Linked DNA regions of Bombyx mori. The protein of the gene in region 1 interacts with the protein of each later gene in a pairwise test. Links are inferred from orthologs where the notes say so. Each region holds a gene or a part of one and is shown on either strand. Other genes may lie near its edges.

What was found.
Region 2: the proteins of cysteine protease ATG4B (region 1) and Atg8 interact in binary tests that used the Caenorhabditis elegans proteins (3 or more experiments, as listed by UniProt). The link is inferred for Bombyx mori from reciprocal best matches to the Caenorhabditis elegans genes atg-4.1 and lgg-1.

The regions. Positions count from the first base shown.
Region 1 is NC_085110.1:6,050,255-6,062,708, forward strand, and holds the end of cysteine protease ATG4B, read left to right. Parts: intron 1-366; coding exon 367-562; intron 563-775; coding exon 776-922; intron 923-1,156; coding exon 1,157-1,236; intron 1,237-1,740; coding exon 1,741-1,886; intron 1,887-2,997; coding exon 2,998-3,132; intron 3,133-4,002; coding exon 4,003-4,101; intron 4,102-5,041; coding exon 5,042-5,207; intron 5,208-5,483; coding exon 5,484-5,542; 3' UTR 5,543-7,138; downstream 7,139-12,454. Other genes in the region: protein phosphatase 1L, read right to left, coding at 9,456-9,839, 9,945-10,943. UniProt on the Caenorhabditis elegans protein: Cysteine protease required for autophagy. Cleaves the C-terminal amino acid of ATG8 family proteins lgg-1, to reveal a C-terminal glycine.
Region 2 is NC_085117.1:12,313,842-12,326,153, reverse strand, and holds Atg8 (autophagy related protein Atg8), read left to right. Parts: upstream 1-4,701; 5' UTR 4,702-4,798; coding exon 4,799-5,152; 3' UTR 5,153-5,406; downstream 5,407-12,312. Other genes in the region: nucleoprotein TPR, read right to left, coding at 7,634-7,716, 8,177-8,288. UniProt on the Caenorhabditis elegans protein: Ubiquitin-like modifier involved in the formation of autophagosomal vacuoles (autophagosomes). When lipidated mediates tethering between adjacent membranes and stimulates membrane fusion during autophagy. Recruits lipidated-lgg-2 to maturing autophagosomes.

The DNA.
Region 1 (12,454 bases):
TCATATCATGTTTTTTATCTAAATATATTTTATTGTTTTAATATATTCCCATATTACATTTGGTGCAATTAATGTGCATAGTGATTGTTGCTGTAGTATGCAATTATATTGTATTTTTACACAAAATTAACTAATTTTTGTTTACACTATGGAAAGGAATGTGAAATGATGCACTTTTTTATAAGATCTTTATATCTGTCTGTAATAAAATATATTTTTTTATTAGATTAAATATAACATTAATAAAATTACTTTTTTCTTGGACATCCTCGTCAGCAACATTGCACTCCCTTTTGTCCTTCAATACTACATTTTTCCACATTTAATTAGATTAAATAAAATTAAACAGAAAATAAATGTTCACAGATTTGGATCGTATTAGAAGAGATATCACATCAATAATATGGTGTACGTACAGAAAAGGCTTTGTACCAATTGGTGATGAAGGTTTGACTTCTGATAAAGGATGGGGCTGTATGTTACGATGTGGACAGATGGTATTAGGTGTTGCTCTTGTCAGAGTACACTTATCTGTTGACTGGGTATGGTCACCAGAAACAAGGTAATTGTATTTAAATGATTGCAAAATAGTTAATTTTCATAATACTTCTTTATCAATTAGTATCTTGTTGAATTCTTGCAATTTCTTTTAATAAATGGAGTTAATTTTTCTAATGTTGTGTACCTTTATGTAGCTAATGGTGAAAGGTCTCTATTTCACTTTATATTATTATTGAATAAATTATAAAAAATGTGAAGATATAAAATTTTACAGGGATCCAACTTATTTAAAGATCATACAAAGGTTTGAAGAAAGGAAACAAGCACCTTATTCTATCCATCAAGTGGCATTGATGGGTGCCTCTGAAGGAAAAGAAGTTGGCCAGTGGTTTGGACCTAATACAATCGCTCAAGTTTTAAAGTGAGTATAGTATTCCAAAATTAAAGGTGAGATATGAAAAATCTCGAATTCTTTAGGTGTGAAAGGTTAAGAGGTGATATAAAGGAAATTTAGCACTGAATTGTTTTTTCCCAATACTTTGTTTGCTCTGTGTTTATGGAATATATTTGTAAATATAAAAAAAAATACTAATGAAGTACAACAATAAAATTAATTTTTATCAAATACATTACACATTAATTGGTATGTTTTCAGAAAACTGACTGTGTATGACAAGTGGAGTTCATTAGCAATTCATGTTGCTTTAGATAATACTGTTGTCAAGGAAGATATCTGTAAGCATTATGGACAATTTGTTTATTTTCCAAATAATTTGTAGTTTAATTGTTAATTAATTAATTATATAGCTATCATAACTCTAGGATAGGAGATTTAGATGTATAACAATTACACTGAGTTTGAATTGATACAGTATTACTTTGTAGAGGAAATTTGACAGGATGGCCAAACTCACTCTTAAGAGCTGCAACTACTTGATAAAAGAATTAAGGTTTTCTGTTTGTTAAAAAAATATATATTTTATATTTTTTATTGTTGCTATTGATTAGTGTTATCAATAGTTTTATTTATTTATTTATTTAGTAGCAAGTTTTTTTACTTCAAAATGTGAATAACAAACGGGAAATGTAGTAAGTACATTAGAACTAGAATGTTGAGGTGTAAAAGATTTTAGCCAAATTTCCACAATTGGGCGAACACTATTTGTCATTAATATCTTTTGATTTAAAATTGTATAATACCTACATTCTGTCTTTGTAATCTGTTCGTTTTTGTTACAGTGCAACAATGTTTAGTTAACAATGATAGAGGTGACACTTCTTCAGCGCCTGACGGTGTGGTGTCAGACTGGATGCCTCTATTGTTAATAGTTCCACTGCGGCTCGGACTTAGCGAAATTAATCCTGTCTACGTAAATGGATTAAAGGTGTGGTTTTCAGAGCACTATTCCTTACTACTAATACTAGTGGTAGGACGTCTTGTGAATCCACACGGGTAGGTATCACCACCCTTCCTATTTCTGCCGTGAAGCAGTAATGCGTTCAGTTTGAAGGGTGGGGCAGCTGTTGTACTGTTAAAACTGAGACCTTAGAACTCACGTCTCAAGGTGGGTGGAGACGTTTATGTTGTAGATGTTGGCGTCCAAAATGCTGGGAGTCCTCAACAGAGCGAAGCGGTACTTCACGCCTGGACAAAGACTTTTGCTTTATAAAGCACAAGTCCGGCCTCGCGTGGAGTACTGCTCCCATCTCTGGGCCGGGGCTCCCAAATACCAGCTTCTTCCATTTGACTCCATACAGAGGAGGGCCGTTCGGATTGTCGATAATCCCATTCTCTCGGATCGTTTGGAGCCTCTGGGTCTGCGGAGGGACTTCGGTTCCCTCTGTATTTTGTACCGTATGTTCCATGGGGAGTGCTCTGAGGAATTGTTCGAGATGATACCAGCATCTCGTTTTTACCATCGCACCGCCCGCCACCGGAGTAGAGTTCATCCATACTACCTGGAGCCACTGCGGTCATCCACAGTGCGTTTCCAGAGATCTTTTTTGCCACGTACCATCCGGCTATGGAATGAGCTCCCCTCCACGGTGTTTCCCGAGCGCTATGACATGTCCTTCTTCAAACGAGGCTTATGGAGAGTATTAAGCGGTAGGCAGCGGCTTGGCTCTGCCCCTGGCATTGCTGAAGTCCATGGGCGACGGTAACCACTCACCATCAGGTGGGCCGCATGCCCGTCTGCCTACAAAGGCAATAAAAAAAAAAAAAAAAAAAAAAAAAAAAAAAAAAAAAAAAAAAAAAAAAAAAAAAGATGTCTATGAATTCCGGTAACCATTTAACCGGGACTTTTTCACTTAACTAAATCTTTTTTCTAAATTAAAAAAAAAAACTTTTGAGTAGTAAAAACAAATTTACATTTGCATTAGAAAGTGTACTCATTTAAATTTTATTATTATATCACATGTAACATATATTTATAACAGTAAAAAAATCAGGAAATGTTCTTATAAAGATTAAAATAAATGCATATCTTTCCCTAGATGTGCTTTCAATGTCCGCAATCGATTGGAGTCATAGGAGGCAAACCAAATCAAGCTCTGTACCTGATTGGTTGTGTTGAAGATGAAGTTATTTATTTAGATCCCCATACAACTCAACGGTCTGGATTAGTTGAGGTAATGACTTAATAATCATTCATACAAATTTACACTTGTTCTTTGTTATCCCATCCTCAGATATATTTTTTAAATAAACTACTAGAAATGTATTACTTGCCTTTACTTCATCATCATTATCCTGCCCTTCTCCCAGTCACCTAGGGTCGGCGCAACATGTTTGCTCCTTCCATACTCTTCTATCATATACCATTTTTTCGCTCACTCCCCTCCTACCCATATCGTCTTTCACACAATCCATCCATTTCTTCTTAGGTCTACCTCTTCCTCTAAATCCTTCCACATTCATAGTCAACACTCTCTTAACAACCTCATTTTCATTTCGTCTCATCACATGTCCATACCATCCCAAACGCGCACTCCTCAGCTTCTCTGTCACAGGTGCCACTTTCAGACTTCCTCTAACGTACTTTGCTTTTACTTGTGTATGTAAATTTTGATTGGCTATCAATCATGAGCCCTCATGAACACATGTCTCTTAGCTTTCATCAAAACTGAGATTAGCAGCCAAAGCTCAGACATTCGCATGAGTGGCAACCTATGTATGCAGTCCCACTTTCCAGATTATAAATTACTTATATACTTAATTTAATGTACTGAAACATGTTTTCGTAGTAAAGAAATGTATTTTCTTTATTGGATAAGCCCATCTGGTGCTATTTGTATTTTTGTGCCTATAGACATCACAACGTGAATGTCACCAACCCCCCTATAACATGTGGTCGAGGTCTCAATGTGGCGCCATCTAAGCGAGTTTCAGATTCCCTGCCTGAGTGAAGTCTGTTGGCCGTGTCCGATGACCACCAGTTTAAAAAGATTTTACCGTTAATTATTTTAAGTACATAGATAAAAAATATTTAATCTTTTTAGAGTAAGATTACTGACGATCAAAAGGAAATGGACTGTACATATCATTGTAAATATGCATCTCGAATACCTATCCTCTCCATGGATCCTTCAGTGGCGGTGGTAAGTGATAATTTTTTTAAATACCAATTCGACTAGTACCAAATTAAGCTATTGATTGCGTTGCAACGTAGGGTTACATTACATTAACTAACAGGAGAATATCGGGCTATCATAATTTGAATGCGCCACTTGAGAAGGCGGCACGACATGAGAACCCTCTTGTCGTGGCCGCTGGAAACTACATACCCGATCCTGTAAACCGAATGGTAAACCGTCGACGTCGCCCAAAGCACGTCATTACGGATCCTCCTGATTAATTAACGGTGCTTTTAGGCACCACAAGCACCGGTTACCGTCCGCGTCGAACCCGTCGCGACGAAAGACTCGACGAGCGAATTAATCCATAGACACAGCCCACTGAGTTTCTCGCCGGATCTTCGCAGTGGGTCGCGTTTCCGATCCGGTGGTAGATTCTGTGAAGCACTCTTGCTAGGGTCAGTGTTAGCATCACTCCGGTTTGAGCCCCGTGAGCTCACCTACTAGTTAAGTTTACGCTGATATATAGCTTCTCAAGGCTATCAGCTTAGGTAGGAAAAAAAAAATTGAAGTGTACTTTCCCTGGTGGTTAAGAGGTACTTGTACCTATGGCGATGTTCAGATTTCGGGCCGGTTATTCGAAACAAGACAGCGGTTTAGCTGTGCCCCTGGCTTTCCTGATATCCATGAGCGACGGTAACCGCTCACCATTAAGTAGTCTGCATGATCGTTTGCCCTAATGGACATTAAAAAAAATGTACATACAAGATAATAATATATCGTTTCCTGTTTGATAATGTCATTGCAGTACAACTGAGACATGCGTCAGAACGACGGCATTACTGTTGTGTATGATTTCCAATTAAAGCAATTAAAAGAAAATAAGTTTAAGTATGTTCTATCAACTTACCAAGCTAACACTACAATAAATAATTAAAGTTTTTTTTTCGATGTATTTTTTTAGTGTTTCCTTTGTCGTACTAGAGGTGATTTTTATGAGCTGTGTGAAACTATAGAACAGGAGTTTATGAAAGAAAGCCAACCATTGTTCGAAATATGCGAGAAACGACCGTCGCATTGGGGACCGAACACAACCGACATTGACTTTCAAAGCACTTCACTCTTTACGGGTAAACTCGGATTTGTTCTTGTTTATTTATTCTTAAACCAGCGACCTGCCGTCGCTTCGCTTCGGAAACTGTAATTTATTATTGCTTTCTTCACTATTTAATGGATGTTATTATACATATAAACCTTCCTCTTCAATCACTCTTATCTATTAAAAAAACCGCATCAAAATTCGTTACGTAGTTTTAAAGATTTAAGCATACATAGGGACAGAGAAAGCGACTTTGTTTTATACTATGTAGTGATTGTTGTTGCTAAATTTGTACTTGTTGTTCCAGAGTTTGAAGACGTGGACAGACAGTTTGACGACTCGGATGAAGAATTCGAAATTCTTTGAAAAACGCAGATAATGTGGCCTTATTGTGTAATTTGAACATTACGAAAGAGTATTTACTAAGACAAAAGACATTTTTACGAACCTTGTCAGAGGTTCGCTTTTTTTTTTTGTAATCACTAAACTAACAATTCAACGAACTATAAGCAGATTATTTTTCTGATAAACGTGGTAGGCTCTTTCATTGAATAATCTTTTTGCTATTAATTGTCGGCTGATTATGTATAGAACCAAATCATCATTTGAGTCTTCTGATTTTAATTAACTCACATAACATCTGGTTTCGTGTAACTCCTAAACCAGAGGTGGGTTTTTTTATATATTTGTATTATTTATTATTAATAATTATTATTATTTACTTCTGCATAAATCTGTATTAAGAGTTAAATAATATGGCTGCTGTTTTGTTCCTATTCAGGACACGACGTCACCTTGAGCTTAAAATTGTTAGACCGAGGTCTTGTCCTGTTCGTCGGTAAGGAAAGAGATACAATTCTATAAACAAGGGTCATTTAAAATATGAAACTTGCATTGTTAAATTATATTGTCCTGGAACGGGTAGATACAATATTTGAAATGCTATATCATTTAAAATTTATTATAATTTATTTGTTGACAACTAATAGAAATTCTTATTAGTTTTATCTTTAGAGTTTACAACTCACACCAAATTTGGAGAATTTTTGGTTCAACCCGGTAATTCCTAAATCGAGTATAAAACATATTTTTTTTTGGAGGTTATGAAGAGTCTACTCCTATAACCTCTACGTATGATCTATCAGGGTAAATGCAAAAAGTTTGCAACTAATTACCCTGTAATTGTTATGCAATATCGAGACATGGTATTTATTATAGTTTATTCAGGCACTCTTACGTTTGTAATTGATACGGTTATTTAAACTATTAATTTGTTCATTGCAATTTTAATTCGCACTGTGTGTCGTTATTTCAATATTAACATAATGAGAATGCCAAAACTGTTGAGTGATTTAGCACGATGGATTTTTGATAGAATAATTGTAAACTTTGTAACGTTATTTTATATTTACGAAGACGACAGCACTATATTAAAGTAAGTACTAGAGTATATTATAAAATCGTAGTACGCGTATTTTCTTAGTGCCGAGTGCATAAGCTGTTGTTGGATAGTTTGCAGTGCCTTTAAACGCAACAGTGACTTGTAATTTAGATAAAATTATAACATTCCTAATTTCGGAATCGTAGTTATATTATGGTTTATTTTATTTTTTTAGGTATGTCTAGTCAATAATAAGCATCTGATATTATTATAACTCGGATCTTCTCTTTTATTTGTTACATACGTCGCTTTGCTGCATTGTGTCTCCCATGATTTGTAATTTTAGTTAATTATTAGATAAAAGAAATTGCCGTTCATTTTATTTAATTACATCTTACAATGTTTGTTTTACATATTTATGTGTCGCATTATTTTATTTCTAAAGTTTTACTCGGCAGTGTAAAAATGTAGATATTTAAATAATGGAGAAAATGAGTCAAATGTACTATAACATTTTTGTATAACTTAGATAACTGCCAAAGACCTGAATATTTTTGTATTAAAGGGAAATAATATTTTAACTGTGTTTTATTTACATGATACCTGTTAATGATTATTTATTTTGTAATAAAACAAGTCTAAAATTACCACATTCATTTATCGAAAATTATTTTCTTTTATTTGGTAGGTACGATTTTATTTGGTAGATACGAGGTAGACTGAATATGAGTTTCAAACAGGGACGAAAGAATTTAGTAGGTAATCAAAGATTTCATTATCATTAGGCATAGTATACTTGGAAATAACAATACTTGAATTTTTTTAAGGATAAATCTTCTTACTATGGTTAATGGTCTTTATAGATAAAACTGTGTTAAAAAATATATTTATGCGGGTACGCACATGGGTTTTTTTGCGCTCACCTAGTTTACCTACTAACCGATAGATCGCTTGCACACTTTCCATTTTCGTCAATTAGATACGGGAGTAAAAGCCTGTAATATTTAATTGCTAAGGATAAAATCTAGGTAAAAGTAAATTCATTCCCAACATACATATACATGATGATGGCGATAAGGCGTTGGGTATTAAAATTGTTTTTTGGTAAATATTGTCGAAAGGATTGAACTAATCCATAGTAAAACCCAGCGTAGATAAGTGGCAAGGTGCGGTACCTATGGCATGTATCTAGAGAAGTTTGATAAAATTTAACCAGTTCCATGTAGCGCGGTAAGATGATTACTTTATTAGATCAGAAAAAAAACTGGTTCTTTTTATGTACGTACTTTTTTAATCAAATATCCGCCAAAAGTTCGTTGTGTAAAATCTGTCCACGATTAAGCGATTCGGTAATGTTTTTGATAAGTCCACAATAGAAAATAAAATATTTATGAAAAACTAGTCACGGGGAACAAAATCCGCACCGCAGCCAACTAGTATTAATTTGCAGTCCATAAATTACATCTCATTACCGCGATAGAGGAATTAATATATTTTATGTATGATTCATGCCAAAGATAGAAAAGTCATAGATAACCTTTTGATCATGCAACACTTGAAGGTTTTCCAATGAGGTCAGCAATAATCAATACACAGTTTGCAGTACAAAAATAATTTTAGCAGTATACATTTTTTTATTTGACACCAATGAATTTCATAATCCTATTGAGATGACAACATAGATAAGTAATTTAAGATTTTATGGAAATCTTACTCACACTGTTTACTATTCCTATGGTATATTTGCATAAAGTTACGAACAACAAAAATAACAAAAAAAAAAAATGACTAGCACCACAGGCAACATAATAATTATGGGGGCATTGTTTTTACTTAGCCAAAATAATAACTACAGTTCAACAACATAACAACAGTGTTAGTAAAGAGCAAAAATAATTACCTATCTTAGCAAATTCAGACGATTATATAAATATTATATATTGTAAATAAAGTTGAATATTGTAGTTAATGTACTTTTCAGACAATCAAATGAAAAATATCATGGCTTTCATGAATATAAACGTCCAAAATATTTATTATATAAGAAATAAATTTAGGAAAAAGTGCATTTTTATAGCATTCTTTTATATCTATTGCAACATTCATTATCATACAACTGTTTTCATACTATATATTATTAACTACTTGTACACAAATATGACACCTGATAATGTGCATCAATTTATCTCTAATGTTGTTGAACAACTTTTTTTTCAGAATATCTTATCATCAATAACATCAAATAGATTTATGAAAATCTGCATACACTTCACAACCATCCATAAATTCAAATATTAAATTTCAAAAATATATAATTAGGTACATGCACATCCGACATTATAAAATATAAGTTACTCTGGTCTAAGTAACAAATTTACTTTTTAGTTAAAAACATTTTCTTTAAACTTTATTTTCAGAATAGTTGCTTTAGTAAAAATACATTTATCCTCCTTCAACTTCATAAAACATTAAATGTATATTATGCTTATTTTATTAATATGTTTCTTCACACAAAAGAAAATTTGCCACATTAATGTTTTTAATTTTGGGGTTTTTAGTCATTAATTACTTGTCCTCTGCATATTTATTTATTTACAATATATGTATATATAAAAACACTAGGGTAATCTTTTAGAAAATAGTATAAATTTTTTACTGGATGGAAAGATTCCAAATAAATACTTCTTCAAATGCACTATGTATTCATGGTAAGATACTGTATTAACTTTTCAGAAGGTATTCTTTATAAGTTATCATGGCTCTCAATTGCTGTAATTGTTCAAATTGCTCCAAGTATGAGACCTAATTGTTATCAGGCATAAAATTTCTAGAAAACTGTGAAAAATGTACCTTGAAATCTCTTACGAAGATCTAAACTAAGGAATAAAATTACAATTTCTACTGAACTCCTGCGATGGTTATATTGGTATTTAGGAAGTTTATGACCAAAACTGTAATATTATCGACTGATCCTCTATAATATGCTTGTAGTGTTAAACTTTTTGCCCCATAATCTGGTTCATCAAGTCTTTCTTTAATAAATTTCACAGCTTCTTCATTGGTAAACGTGTCCCAGAGACCATCAGAGGCTAAGACTAAGAACATAGGTTTATGATCATTTAAGTTAAAAGTAAGTATATCTGGATCTGCTATGACAAATTTCTTATCTTTGAGTGGGTAATCACCCATAGCTCTTGAAGTAGCTAAGATACCTGCAACTCTCCAAACTCCATTATAAGCAATGTAACCTCCTGCTGCCTCAATTCTTTTTTGTTCCCTTACCTGAAATTACAACATTACATTTAAATCTTAAATATTTGCTTTAATAACATTATTTATTGACTAATATTAACAGTTCTAAGTATGAGGGATAGCAATTACATTTACCTGTTGTGGTTTATGGTCAAACGAGACAGGAATAGCATTGCCTCTCGAGTCACACATGACTCCCCTGGAGTCACCAACATTGGCCACTATCAGATGATTATTTTCCATTATTGCAATAAGGGCTGTAGTGCCGGCAACATTCAAAGACTTCTTTGCAGCTTCTACTAGTAATCTATCTGCTGCTAAAACTTCATCAGTCAATAATTTTCCATAATTAATTTTTCCTTTGTCAATATAACTAGATAATGGTATATTGATATTCTTAACTGGCTTAGTTGTGGTCCGCACTTCTCGGGTAATGATTGGCCTTGCTTTAGAAAGCTGGGCAAGCAATTCAGGATCTGTTATTTCTTTTTTTGATGTATCATCTGCAGTACTAACTGACTTTTTGAAGCTTGTTTTACGTTCAACATTTTCCTCTTTAGGTGCATACTCCTCAATAATTTCTCTAGATATATCAGATATTTTACCTTCTTTGAAAGCGTTAAGTTCAACAATTTTGTTGTAAAGATTCTGTATAAGATGGTCCTTGGCATAGTTAGCAGCAAACTCTCCGCCGTGTCCATCGAATATAGCGAATAGTGATATGCCTGTGTTGTTTACATTTTCGTTTATTATAAATCTATCTTCCATGTGCATTCTTCTACCTTTGATTGCGTAAGCAGCACTTAACGTGCCTTTCAGTTCCCAACTTTGCTTGTCTGCATCGGATCCCTCCATGAGTTTCATTCGTTGAACAGCGCTCATAGGATTCATCGCTTGCGACAGTCTGCTTAGCATTGTTCGACTCCATAATTCTATACTTTGAAGATACATTAAGAAGATCACAATAGCTAGTGTGATCACAACTACTTCAGATCGCAGAAAATAAAGACGCACCATTTTCCATAAATAGCTCACAGGAGCGTCAAGAAAAGTGCTACTGGTGAATCTAGACAATATTTTTACAAAAGAAACGTACGTTTGATGTAATACTCTGTCTTCTATCTCGTCTTCCATGTCCCCGTCAGAATTACTTATTTACACAGTAGAAGGCTTAATTAAACACGTTTATTACACTTGATCAGCAGTATTTTTTGTATACAATAAAAATACACCCAATCAAAATCAAATTCAATGTCTCGTTTTTTTTTATACAACTTCTTTACGGCCATTTGCTACTCAACATTTTAGCCTGTTTCAATTGTAAAGTGGCGGGAATTAACTTAGACTTCAAAGTATTTGTAAAAACACCAAGAACAACATAGCGTGTTTTTTCCGATTTCCTCACATTTTTCATTTTCTAAAGTATTTATTGGTTAATAGTCTACTATTATTATACATTTAAACTACACGAAACACTAAATGGAGACTATACTTTCCCGCTAAGTCTGTTGTCCAAAATTGTCCGATATTTATTATTGATCTGACTGTTCTTTTTTGTTTTCTATTGTTCTGAATTTTACTCTTTTAGCCGAAATTCTTATTTATATATTTTTTTTATTAGTGAGTGGGTATTATAAAATAAAGTTTATGTATTTCAAATTAAATATAATATAAAAATGTCCCTTTAAATACTAGGAATTTATTGTTACGTAAATTAATTTGTTGGAAGAGCCCGATAAACCGCCGCTAACGTGTTTGTGGCATTTTTCAGTTGTACACGTTAACAGATGCTAAAGTTCATTAGCTGTAATAATGTAATGTTTACCAGATTTAAATTTTTCTTAGATCTGATTTTTTTTTGTATATTGCAAATCGTTTCCCATTAATGCTAGTATTGCCAGTGCTGAATAGTACACTTGAGTTCTTTTTAAGAACATAGACGGACGGATGAACTCACATATATGTTACCTGGATCTTGGGCCAGTTACTTTAGAACTAAATCCTTCCAGGGGAAAAATTAAGACAGTAGCACCGACGCACACAACTGTTCTGACAGATATCAATACGCAATAGGCGGAAGACGCAGATGTTAGCACTCTCCCAGGCTGAGCACCATGGCTCGCTTAAAAGTTCGATGAAGCTCTAGCATAGCCCCGGAGGCAAAAAAGAGGAAAGAGCACAGGAAATTAATATCTGAGCACACTCAGCTTATTATAAAATTATCGACTATTTTGTCAAGCCAAGATCGATAATTAGAAGTTATAAATTCCCGAATTTTTGGGGAAAAATTCAATTACAATATGTATCAGTTATCTACATGTACTTACACATGCTATACTTTTTTGAATTGATTATTTAACCTTAACCTATTATTCAATTTTATGTTTCTCCTATTTATTTTGAGATATTAATTTTGTATTTAGTGTCGATGTTAGCTTAAATTGCCTCAGTTGGTTTCGGGACAAGAAAAAACACGTTTATTTTATAAAATGTATTAAAATGGTGAAATAGAGATTACATTAAAGTATTTATTTTTAGTATTAGGTATATATTTCTTACAGGGACTATGCAGTATTAATTTTAAAATTTCAAACCAACACTTTAAAATATTATAAATATTAACAGAAGCGATCAAATCGAGTATT
Region 2 (12,312 bases), on another chromosome or scaffold:
TTTTTACATTTTTCTTTATGTAGATAGATAGAGCTCGTTAATCTAAATAATAGTTGTTTTAGGCAAAAATTACAAAAACTTTATAGTTTGGTCAGAAAAATGTGTTTTGTGATTTTTTTGTATGGAGCGGGTCACATTAAATTAAATTCCTGCTAAGTACCGCGAGGTCCCGCTTTGAAACTTTATTTTCCTTACATCTTGTCTAGTCTACTATCATTTGATGCTATGAACATGTGCATAAAGTTGCAACTCTGCCAAATAAATGGATCGAAAAAAATGAATAAATACATAGAATAAAAACCTTTATATTTTTTTTCGTAAGTGCTTTTAAGTTAAATTTGATATGGATTAGTAAGTAAAAGCACGTAATGATACCCATAATCACATAATACCTAACAACAATACATTTAGTAGGTCTCTAATTAAGCAATCTCTCTAATTATTAGGATAGTTAACATTATTTAATGAGGATAACTAGTTAAGCAGCCATTACTGGGCAGTAAAAAATATAGTAAATATTTGTTTGTCTCTGGAAGTATAAAGCGACCATGTTTATTATATACTAACTAGTGTTCATTTATTCGTACTACTACTAACATCTCGTGATTGTCGTTGTGATCTTCCTTTTTCCGTTATAATGAATAATTTTGTTAACAATTTAGAATTATTTATGATTTTAAGAGAGCAACTACAGTCGCTTTCTGATAATAAAAAACTCTTTCAATTCCTACAAAATCAAATAAACGTGACCGAAGAGAAAAGTATTGAGCTCCAAAAATTCTGGACGCACTTTTGTTCAAATATAAGTGCAATATGAAAACGAAGTAGTCGCATGTTAGCACAGTTTATAAGAAAAAAATGTGATTGGTTAGAAGGTGCAATAAACTGGCTCGAAGGAATGATACCTGAAGCTATCAACACTGCACAGGAAAGGCATGAGATTTCTAATACTGAAGATGTTGGAAATGTACCACCCTCAAATGTACTACAGAAGCCTCGACATCTACTTTTACACCTCGAAAACCTTTTGAAGAATTGGGATCCAGGCAAAAACGAAGACGCATTGAACAAATTTACCAATCGCTTTCGTTATCCCCGGATGAAATGAAAGCTACTACAATTGCTAGTTTGAGAAACACTGGAAATGAAGATATAGGAGAAATAATGAACCACTTGTCAAATCACCCCGAAGATTTAGAAAAAAGTTAAGGAGTGTTTAAGTACAAGTAAAGTGAAAAGTAGTACATATTCTCCCGATAAGGCACTATTAGTTTCACTTAAATTAAGTAAGTGGCAGTATATAAGCCTAAGAGAAGCAGCAAGTGAAAATGGGTTTGATTTATACCCTTCTTAATATAAAATTAAGCAAGAAAAGACCAAATGTTATCCAGGGAAAGACGAGGTAATTATTACTGAAGAAGGAGCTGCTATTAAAATGCAAGCATTACTAAGCTTGGCGCTATATAGGCTTTTAGATGTGATTACTTCGGATTTGGACTCAGCAAGAGAGCTATTGCTTATAAGCAAATAGGCTTTGATAGAACCCCAGGTCAAAGTAATTATAAACAGAAAACTGAAACAGAGTTTGATGATTCATCTATTTTCATGGTCAGTCTAGTTCCTATAAGGCTTCAGAAATTTGATGGAACAGTTGTTTGGGAAAACGATCTACCCTAATCAACTTTTTATCGCCATCCAATAATGTTTAAATTTACAAAAGAAACGCAGTCAACAGTGGCAATTATAAAAGCTAGCATAACAGAAGAAATAGAAAGACTTCAGCCATCAAAAATCAAACAAGTTGAAGTGAATCATCAATTACACTTAACGATGACAGACGGCAAAATAACCTCATATTTGTCAGAAACATTTTCTGCTGTCTGTGATATTTGCAAAGCAAAACTGTCAGGGCTCTTTGGAGACACTTGCTTGTCAAAGAGAAAATAATGAAGAAATATTCCAGTATGGAATGCCATCTTTACATGCCTGGATAAGATGCATGGAGTGCTTACTTCATATCGGTAAATATAATTTTATTACTTCATAATTTTTTCATCGTATGTAGTTTCCTGTGAGATTATTTTTTATATGACACTTTTTTGTTTGCCTCTTATCGTTTGGACTTCAAGAAATGGGGTTGCAAGGGGGGATGACAAAGAAAAAATATCAATCAGAAAGAGCGCTATACAGCAAGCGTTTAAAAAGGAATGCGGTTTACTTATAGATGTTGTCAAGCAAGAAGTAGGAACAACCAATGATGGCAATACTGCCAGAAGATTTTTTAGGGATGCAGAAGGAACAGCCCGCATAACAGGAATACGTAAAGATTGAATGGAGAGGTTTCACGTGATTCTTCAGACTGTTGCATCTGGACCTTTCCAATTTTTCCGAATTTTGTAGATATACTGCAGAATTGTATGTTAATTTATATCCCTGGTATTATATGCCTTTAAGTATCCATAAATTGATGGCTCATGGCGGTGATATACAATAATGAAGAACTTTGGTGCCATTCGAATAGGTAAGCTCTCGGAAGAGGCAGCGGAAGCTCTCAATAAAGATTTTCGAAATATACAGAGAGTTGTTCTTCTAGAAAAATAAGTAGAACGTCGACTAATGAGGATATTTTACACAATCTTCTTTTGTCTTCTGGCCCAAAGATCGAATGGTGAAACAAAATATATAAAACTTAGAGAGATTGCTTAATTAGAGACCTACTAAATGTATTGTTGTTAGGTATTATGTGATTATGGGTATCATTACGTGCTTTTACTTACTAATCCATATCAAATTTAACTTAAAAGCACTTACGAAAAAAAATATAAAGGTTTTTATTCTATGTATTTATTCATTTTTTTCGATCCATTTATTTGGCAGAGTTGCAACTTTATGCACATGTTCATAGCATCAAATGATAGTAGACTAGACAAGGTGTAAGGAAAATAAAGTTTCAAAGCGGGACCTCGCGGTACTTAGCAGGAATTTAATTTAATGTGACCCGCTCCATACAAAAAAATCACAAAACACATTTTTCTGACCAAACTATAAAGTTTTTGTAATTTTTGCCTAAAACAATTATTATTTAGATTAACGAGCTCTATCTATCTACATAAAGAAAAATGTAAAAAAACAAAGTTGGTGCCTAAGTCACTAAAATCATAGTATCGACCCACTGTGCGACGGGTAGAATCATAGATTATACACTTAATATATTTGGTAGAATCACAGAACACTGTTACTTCTAGCGAAGGGTAAAATACGAATGAAACAGATTTTTTTTTCCTGTCTAGCTAAGAGCCTTTAGAGGCTATTTCAGCGTAACCTTAACTAGTAGGTGAGCTCACGGGGCTCAAGCCTGACGACTTTGCTAACACGAACCCTAACAAGAGCCGTGCTTCGCAGAATCTACCACCGGATCGGAAACGCGACCCACTGAGAAGATCCGGCGAGAAACTTAGTGGGCTGTGTCTGAGGGTATTTATACAATTATCTTGACCTATTTTAATACAAACATAATAGGTAATATTAAACATTGTTTATCTTAATTATTCTGCTGATTATTGACGTACAATTGTTATTTAATAATATCGAATTATATAACATAAATAACATTAAAGTTTTATTGCGCCGAAAGCTGTCAAGCGGAAGGCGCCAATAAATATTTATCATAATATATGAATATGAATCAACTATTTACTTGATTATGAAATTACTAATCTTATACTAATATTATAAAGAGGAAAAACTGAACCGATTTGAAAAATTCTTTCACTGTTTGAAAGCTACGCTATTCCCGAGTGACATAGGTTATAATCTTTTTTGAAAAAAAATATGAATCCTTACCAAAACTCCAATAATGTAATCCAAAGTGTAAAAAAATTACCTAAAATATTCTTGACACCGTGTGCCCTGCGAAAACTATGATTGATGATAGAATAAAATAATGTACCACTAGTATCTATTGATGATAAAATAAAATAATGTACTACGACATTGTAGAACACATTATTATTTACAAAAAGTGTCGCGACAGCGTATGTCTAACTATTATAGTTATGCCGCAATAAGTGTTATTTTATTTAAAAAAAGAAAGCAACGTCAAATATCGTTGAAATTTTTGTTAAAGGACCGAGCGGAGCCGGAGCGGGCCGCTAGTTATAATAGAAGACTATAATAAGTTCTATATATTTCGGACTAGGTACCATCTTTTCGTAATTTGAACAATTTTCTACGTGATAAAAAGTTCTCTTCCCAGGAGGCAGTACAAATGCTTTTACACAGTTTGTAGAATCTAGATCACCAGAGCTTTATCGCAAAGCCATAAATGACCTTCCTATTAGATGGCAGCAATGTATAAATAATAACTGTAGATATATTGATTTAAATAAATAGGGTAAATGAAAAAAAAAAAAAATCAGTATAAATTGCCAATTTCTTACTTTAACCCATAATATTACACGAAAGACGCCGCAACGATATTTAGAGCATGAAGACAGTAAATTAGTAACATATCAGTTATTTATTTTTATAATTAAGTAGTACTTTTCAATTTAAATTATCAGACCCAATAGCACAGCACCGCGTTAACACAATAGCAGGGCGTATTTTCATTAAGCGGACAAGCTTATTTAGGTGGCTTAAAAGACCGTATGTCGAAAATTCAAGATAATTGGTTGTCATAACAGCTGATTGCGTCACTAGAGTCAAATAACGCAAAAATAAAAAACAAGGCGCAGTAGATTGAGAAGTTGATTACGATTCGATCATCTGAAATTGCAGTGTGTTATAAAATATCAACATGAAATTCCAATACAAAGAAGAACATTCATTTGAGAAGAGAAAGGCTGAGGGCGAAAAAATCCGCAGGAAATATCCAGATCGCGTTCCTGTAATTGTAGAGAAAGCGCCGAAGGCTAGGCTTGGAGACCTCGACAAAAAGAAGTATTTAGTTCCGTCTGATTTAACAGTTGGCCAGTTCTACTTCTTGATCCGGAAACGTATTCACCTGCGGCCTGAAGACGCACTTTTCTTCTTCGTGAACAATGTCATTCCACCCACATCTGCAACAATGGGGTCTCTCTACCAAGAACACCATGATGAAGATTTCTTTCTATACATAGCATTTTCCGACGAAAATGTCTATGGAAATTAATTCCAAATTATTCACTTTCAAATAGTTTTACACTATCTGACCATATGGTGAAATTTAATTTAAGTCTTAGATTAAAATTGTGTATTATTTTATGGTATTTTTTTATTATTAATTGGCATATAATACTATATTTGTCTTCATATGAATAGTATAAAACTTTTCAAGCAAGTAAAGGATTGCTTTGTTTTCACATCTTTGTTTTGGTTGAGTGTCATCACTGCTGTAATAAAAAATAAATAAAAGATAAAAGCAAATCTTGGTGATTTATTTAAACCTTTTACACTAAAATATAACTATGATATTTTCAAAACAATGATGAATGTTTTCTAATCACTTGAAACACCTAACACATTGTTTTTGTTACACACAAAAGCATTGTTATCTTAACTTGGAAAACACAATTTGACACAAATATTGTAATTTTTTTTTAAATCTCAAAGTAAACCATAAAATTATTTTACTTTGTTACTAATACTACCCCTAATAGTAATTTACAATACTATCAACGTCTATTAATCACAGTGGCTATAAACTAGTCATTGACAAAGGAAAGAACTGGTAAATTCCATAATAATTTTGCTATTATAAATGTTTTTGTTGTAAGTAGTTAAGATATCTATAATACATAAGTGACAACCAGTTCATGTTGGCACAACATGTATCTATGTTAGTAGTTAGACTTTTGGTAGACTATGTTTATATTTTTAAAAACAGCCTAGGTTCAACTTCCCATAGGAATGGTATACTAGATTTGCTTTCCAAATAAGAAATTAGTGGATGGTTAAGTACTATAATAAGATGAGGATATTACTACTCTAGATGACTGAAGTACTATTCCTAGCTCTATATTGGGTGCTCTAGGTCTTACCCAGCTTTTGATTAATAATTTGACAAATTGTAATGGGAGAATCAGAAAAAGTGTCGTCTTTCTAGTTTGGGGACCGATGGATGTCCTTCTTGTCTAAACTCATCATAGGCCTTATGCTTAAAAAAATATCAACTGTGGCTGTTCTTAGTGAACACTTAAGTTTTCCAGAGGGAACTGTTGTTCAGATAGTGCATTTGGTTCTAGGAACAGTTTGAAACACCAAGGTCTTTGGAAAGATTTGTAACGATTTTTACTGATAAACTTATGAAATGATCTCCCCACATTGTGAAATGGTAATTGAAGTTTATAGTGAATAGTAATGGTTTGGCTATATCTTTGTACTAGATAATAGCAATGATATAAGGTAAGCATTTTTCATCAGGTATGCGCCAGGTGTGGCCTCACTGGCAGTTCATCATAATCTTTATTCATTGACTTCTTTTATGAGAACGATCCATGTTTGATTTGCACCAGATGCGTGGAATACCATCCTTCTGGTTTTGGGTAAGTTGCTTTGCAACAGAGATAAAAAAGACTTACTAATTCGTGGCTTTATCTCTGCTACAATTAATTGATTTATATCATAACATTGTTTCCTTAATGAATTTCTGGGTCAAAATGATTTATATGCTTAATTCACTTATGGTTCGATCTGTGGTTACAATTTTATTTTATGCAGCTGGGAAATGGTTAAAATTAAAACATTTTATTTTCATCACATTTATTACTAAAGGAAATTACAATTAAATGGAAATATTTTATGGACACTTAGGTACTTCAACGTTTTTTTTGGACTAATTTGTAACAGCAATAAAATTACTAGCCCATCTAATATGAAACTTTTTAATTATTTTAAACAGTTTAATATGGAAATAGTCTAAGTAAATATTTATATATATATTACGGATAATAATAATTAATAACACTAACTGTTATAGCAAATAAACCATTTGTATTATACGTGGATGCTTCAGTTTTTGACACAAACGAGTTTGGGGTTTATTTGTACAGGTAATTGGCGAATATTTAGCATTAATACTCATTTTAAATTGGGCTTCAATCTCGTTGATGACATTAACTAAATAATAATCACTAAAGATATATCGCTCAAATAGTAATAGTCTACCTAAAATAGTTTAGTTGGTAAAGAAACAAACAAAATTATTTATGGGGCTTCTCATGCTATAAACCAATCTTTAAATTTTCTTTGCGCAGTGGATATCTGAACATAACATACAAATAAAACACTAGCCAAAAATTAGTTCTTCTATCATTTAGAAAATGAGTCTTACCTAAAAATATTAATTCTAACATAGGAAAATTAAATATTAATCAGATATCTGCTCGCCACCTGGAATTTCTCAATATTATCTAGTGAAAATAGCGATATAATATAAACATTTCTGCTGGAATTCTAAAAATGAAATCAATCTAAGTGTATATATAGCGTAGTAAGGCGTACAAAAATAAAAAAGAATGAAATTAAACACCGCAGTTACATTTCCGTATATTAAAAGTAATTCGAAATTTGTTATTGAATTTATATATCTGGAACCTACATCAAGATTTATGCTATAAAAATCGATATTGTTTTTAGCTTATTCTAGAATCGTTTAAAACCTCATGTAGTTGTGAGGTCTTCTTGACGGCCGTCCTCGTGATCGCATACCGCGTCCACGTGCGCCACTCTCGCTGTCTGCAAATAATGAAATATTTGAACAACTGCATGCGATCGAATTCCGTATTCATTGTTGTATTTCCGGGCACGTTATTTGTATTTCATGAATTTGTAGAAATTCGATACAATATTAATAAACAAAAAAATTCTAGTACTTCTGTGAAGAAGTACAAGTAGAGCCCCTCAGACACAGCCCACTGAGTTTCTCGCCAGATCTTCTCAGTGGGTCGCGTTTCCGATCCGGTGGTAGATTCTGCGAAGCACGGTTCTTGCTAGGGTTCGTGTTAGCAACGTCATCAGGTTTAAGCCCCGTGAGCTCAACTACTAGTTAAGGCTACGCTGATATAGCCTCTCAAGGCTCTCAGCTTAGGTAGAAAAAAAAAAAAGCAGCGACAGGGACAGTTTTCTTCGTCCGCACCAGCTGAAAGTACCGCGGCGGACCGAAGCCTGTTCTGTAATAAAGGTGTTAATAATATACCTGCAGCCCTCATCCATCGTTGATTATGGGAGTGAGGAGAGTGCGGAGACCGCGTGGGCGCGCGGCGTGCCGGTGCACTAGCCTCCGCCTCGCGACCTTCTTCTGCTATCTGCTGTAATTTAATAATAATCATAATGCTATCTGCTGTAATTTAATAATAATCATAATGCTAATTGCTTAAACTTTGTCATTATGTCACATTTTGTCTTTAGACATTTTGCGCATCAGGGACACAAGTAAGTTTTAGCGGTAGGCAGCGGCTTGGCTCTGTCCCTGGCATTGCTGAAGTCCATGGGCGACGGTAACCACTCACCATCAGGTGGGCCGTATGCTCGTCTGCCTACAAGGGCAATAAAAAAAAATAAAAAAAGAAGAACATTAAAAGCCTTGGTCATGTAACTGTGGTGTTCCAAAGTTAAGATAGATTTTAAAACAAATTAAATAAACGCGAGATTGAGCTATATAAATAAATATTATTGTGATCAAATCCTTTAATCTTCATTTTAGCTGTGAATTAAGTTTATTTGTTGGGAAATTAAAGCAAGTATCGCATATAAATGATTTGCCATTAGACTTATTAAAATCCTTTAAATTAAAAATTAAACAACGCATATAAATAAAAATGATGCCGAATGATCATTGTTCTATACTCTTCTTGTGTGTACATAAATAAATAAATAAAATTAAAAAAAATTAACATATTCACTTAAACTTTAGCCATATTGAAGTGTTTCGCCTTTTCTTTCTTCATCTTCGTGCATATTTTAGGCATTCTATTAATTTCTTAAAATATTCTTAATCAAACTTTTTCTACTTGCCCTCCAATAATTGCCACAAATGTGCTGAGTTTGTTGGTGATCAATTTTTTACCCTTCTGTCGAGTTCATCCTAAACTAATTCAATGGGAGAGGGGTCAGGTAATTGAGAAGGCCCTTGAATTTTTTATTTTATTTTTATTCTTGTTCAAAAAAAAAAGGAAAGTTGGACGAATACTTAGAATCATTATATTGTTGAAAAGTGAATTCAACACCAATTTGATCTGTTTTATCTGATTCTGGATCTGTTTTAAAATTTGGTTTGATCTGCATGTCTCTGTTCAGTACCGGGTATGATAATATTTGAAAAAAACAATCAAATGGGCTCCTTTATTTAATTTTCCGGTTATCCTCCCAAACTTCCAAGGTTATTTTTGCCAAAACAAGTCCAAATCATAACATTACCACAACCCGATTGGTCTCGAATTTTTTTTTCCTCGTTCTAAATTATATTTTTCCTCTGAACTATTTATTGTCCAGTTTATATGCTCTCTGCCTATTCTAGTTTATTCTTCTTATGTCGAATATTTAGCTTTAGTTTTTAGCTGCGATTATTAGATATAGCAGTGAAATGTGAATTCCGTTTTGAAAGATCTCTAATGAAGTTATTCTCTTGATTAGTTGTAGATTGGGGTCTACCAGATCTTTTTTATCTCCATTTTTCCCAGTTTTCTAGCAAGATGTAGTAGTGGATTCCTTAGTGGAGACCTTTCCGTCTTTGGGAGATTTGACATTCAAGGTATTTTTCCTCGTAGTGTACAAATAGCGCTTCGCAATTCTATTGTAATTTCCTTGCGTTTTTTCCATATAAAAATATTTATATTTTCTGTTACTACACAGTGGCGATTTATTTTTTGTATAGAAACAGGTGTGCTTCCAAAATTTTGGACGGTAGTGTACCAAGACAATCGCAATAGGGTAATTATTAAATTATGTTTGAACATAATTTATATTGCCTTGATAGTAGACCTACTAATTAATAGAAGCATATATTGATTAAATTAAATCTGGACGTTTAATTTTGAGTTATAAAGTTTACAAGCATGGGTTGCTGTCCCCTTCCAGGTAGCTCATAACTAATTGACTACGCACGTAAGATTTGACATCACTACGGTGTACTCTGTAGACCTTGTGACTAGAAATATAATAGGTTAAAAAGTATATAAACTAAATTAAACCCATTTTTATTTAAGCCAATTTTACACCCGTGAGGAAATGTCCAACTTTTCTCCCTTGGTGCACAATGTACTATTTATACGAATTCGTGTTGAGTGAATATTAAGAGAGATTTAGGGCATTCCAAAATAAAACTGCTTACATCACAAATTAAGCAAATTGATAAAAATAAGTCATTTTCCCAGATAAAATCAATTATACCTACCTGTTGAGCTATTTTTAATGTTATGTTTTGGTGTACAATTTAGTCTATCTCTTTCTTTCTTTCTTTCTTTCTTACTCTCTCTCTCACACACACACCCTTTAAAACGAACGCATTACTACTACGCGGCAGAAATAGGCTGGATATTTATGCGTACGAACTCACATGGCCCCCTACAATATTTACATTATATTACAGTAGGGGCCGGAAAGTTCTTGAGTGGCGACCGCGTATCGGAAGATGTAGCGTGGGTATGCCTCCCACAAGATGGATCGATCAACGACCTATTGAGGTTCGCGAGGATCCGCTGGATTCAGCAGCGGAGGACCGATTTTTGAGGCGAGGCTTGGGAGAGGCCTATGTCTAGCAGCGGACGTCTGTGGGCTGATAACAGTAGGATATCTACCACCAATAGAATATCACACTTATTCGCTATAAACCAATACTTTTACTTTAGAACTTCTACCGTGCTTAAATAAAAAATAATCATTTGTATGTACATTACATATAGGTAATTAAAAATACTCTTATGATAATGTCAACACAAGTGTTTTTCGCTAAAGGCCAATATATTTAATATTCTCATAATATCATTGTTTGTTGGACGGCTGTAATGTGAAAGTCAAATGAGACAGACGTAAATATAATAAAGGGTGTATGGAACCGTTTCCGAAAAAAAAGATAAGAACTTCTGGTACGACGACGTTAAAAAAAATCACTATAAAAAAATTAAACTTCTTTCACCGGTTAATGATGTTTTTTTTTTTTATAGCTTAGATGGTTGGACGATCTCACAGCCCACCTGGTGTAAAGTGGTTACTGGAGCCCATAGACATCTACAACGTAAATGCGCCACCCATCTTGAGATATAAGTTCTAAGATCTCAGTATAGTTACAACGGCTGCCCACCCTTCAAACCGAAACGGATTACTGCTTCACGGCAGAAATAGGCAGGGTGGTGGTACCTAACCGCGCGGGCTCACAAGAGGTCCTACCACCAAATAAATGTCGTTTCAGTCATCTCACTTTTTTTTATTAAGTTGTTGAAAACAGAAAAAAGAAAATTTACCTAAGTACTCGTGTAATTTGCGTTTCTATGTAAAATTAACTAAAAAATAATTGACCCAGGAAACAAGCTCACAGAAATGCGGGCGCAAATTTCGCTTTATTTTGCCGGATCCTAAATAAAAACTTCTGATAGATGCTTCTGCAAAAATGTTTTCCGCTTACATGAGGCTTATAGTGTATTCTCGTTTCGGAACTCTTTACGCTATGGGTGGTTATATAGCACTGCTTAGTACTTAAATAATATATGGTCTATCTACGAACATAGTGGCGATGATGGCGATATACTATCCCTATTCGTTTTGAAAAACAGCACCGTATTCGCTTCTATTGCGAAATTATATACTACCTCAAAACAAAATCAGGGCGACTTGTGAAAATAAATACAATTGGTTTAACTTCATTATTATCGTTGTTCTTGAATGTACAAACATGTCTTACCAATGATTTCTACAAGAGACACACTTCGGAAACGATTTGGTGAAAAAATCCACGTGAACTAGTCTTTTTTTTAGTATTCTCATAAGGCCATTAACTTTTTAAAATTCCAATAAGCCATTTTGTAGCACATTAAATAAATATAAAGCATGTTTTATTTAGTGTTGAACATTACAAGTTTTGAATACTATAGAAAAATAAATCTTATGTATTAGCCTTAAAGTTATGAATAATTTAATTAAGTGAATATTTATTTATTTTGAAATTAAAATCTTGCTAAGATCAAGCAAAAATAACCAAAACGATATGCTGATCTTATTGTTGTTATATTCAAAACTGGAAGCAATGTTTTTAAAACATTGGTCAAACATCGCCCGAACGTCATTCTTCGGTGAACAAGCGTAAAGATTTGTAAGAGTAAACATTAGCAGTTCATCGTT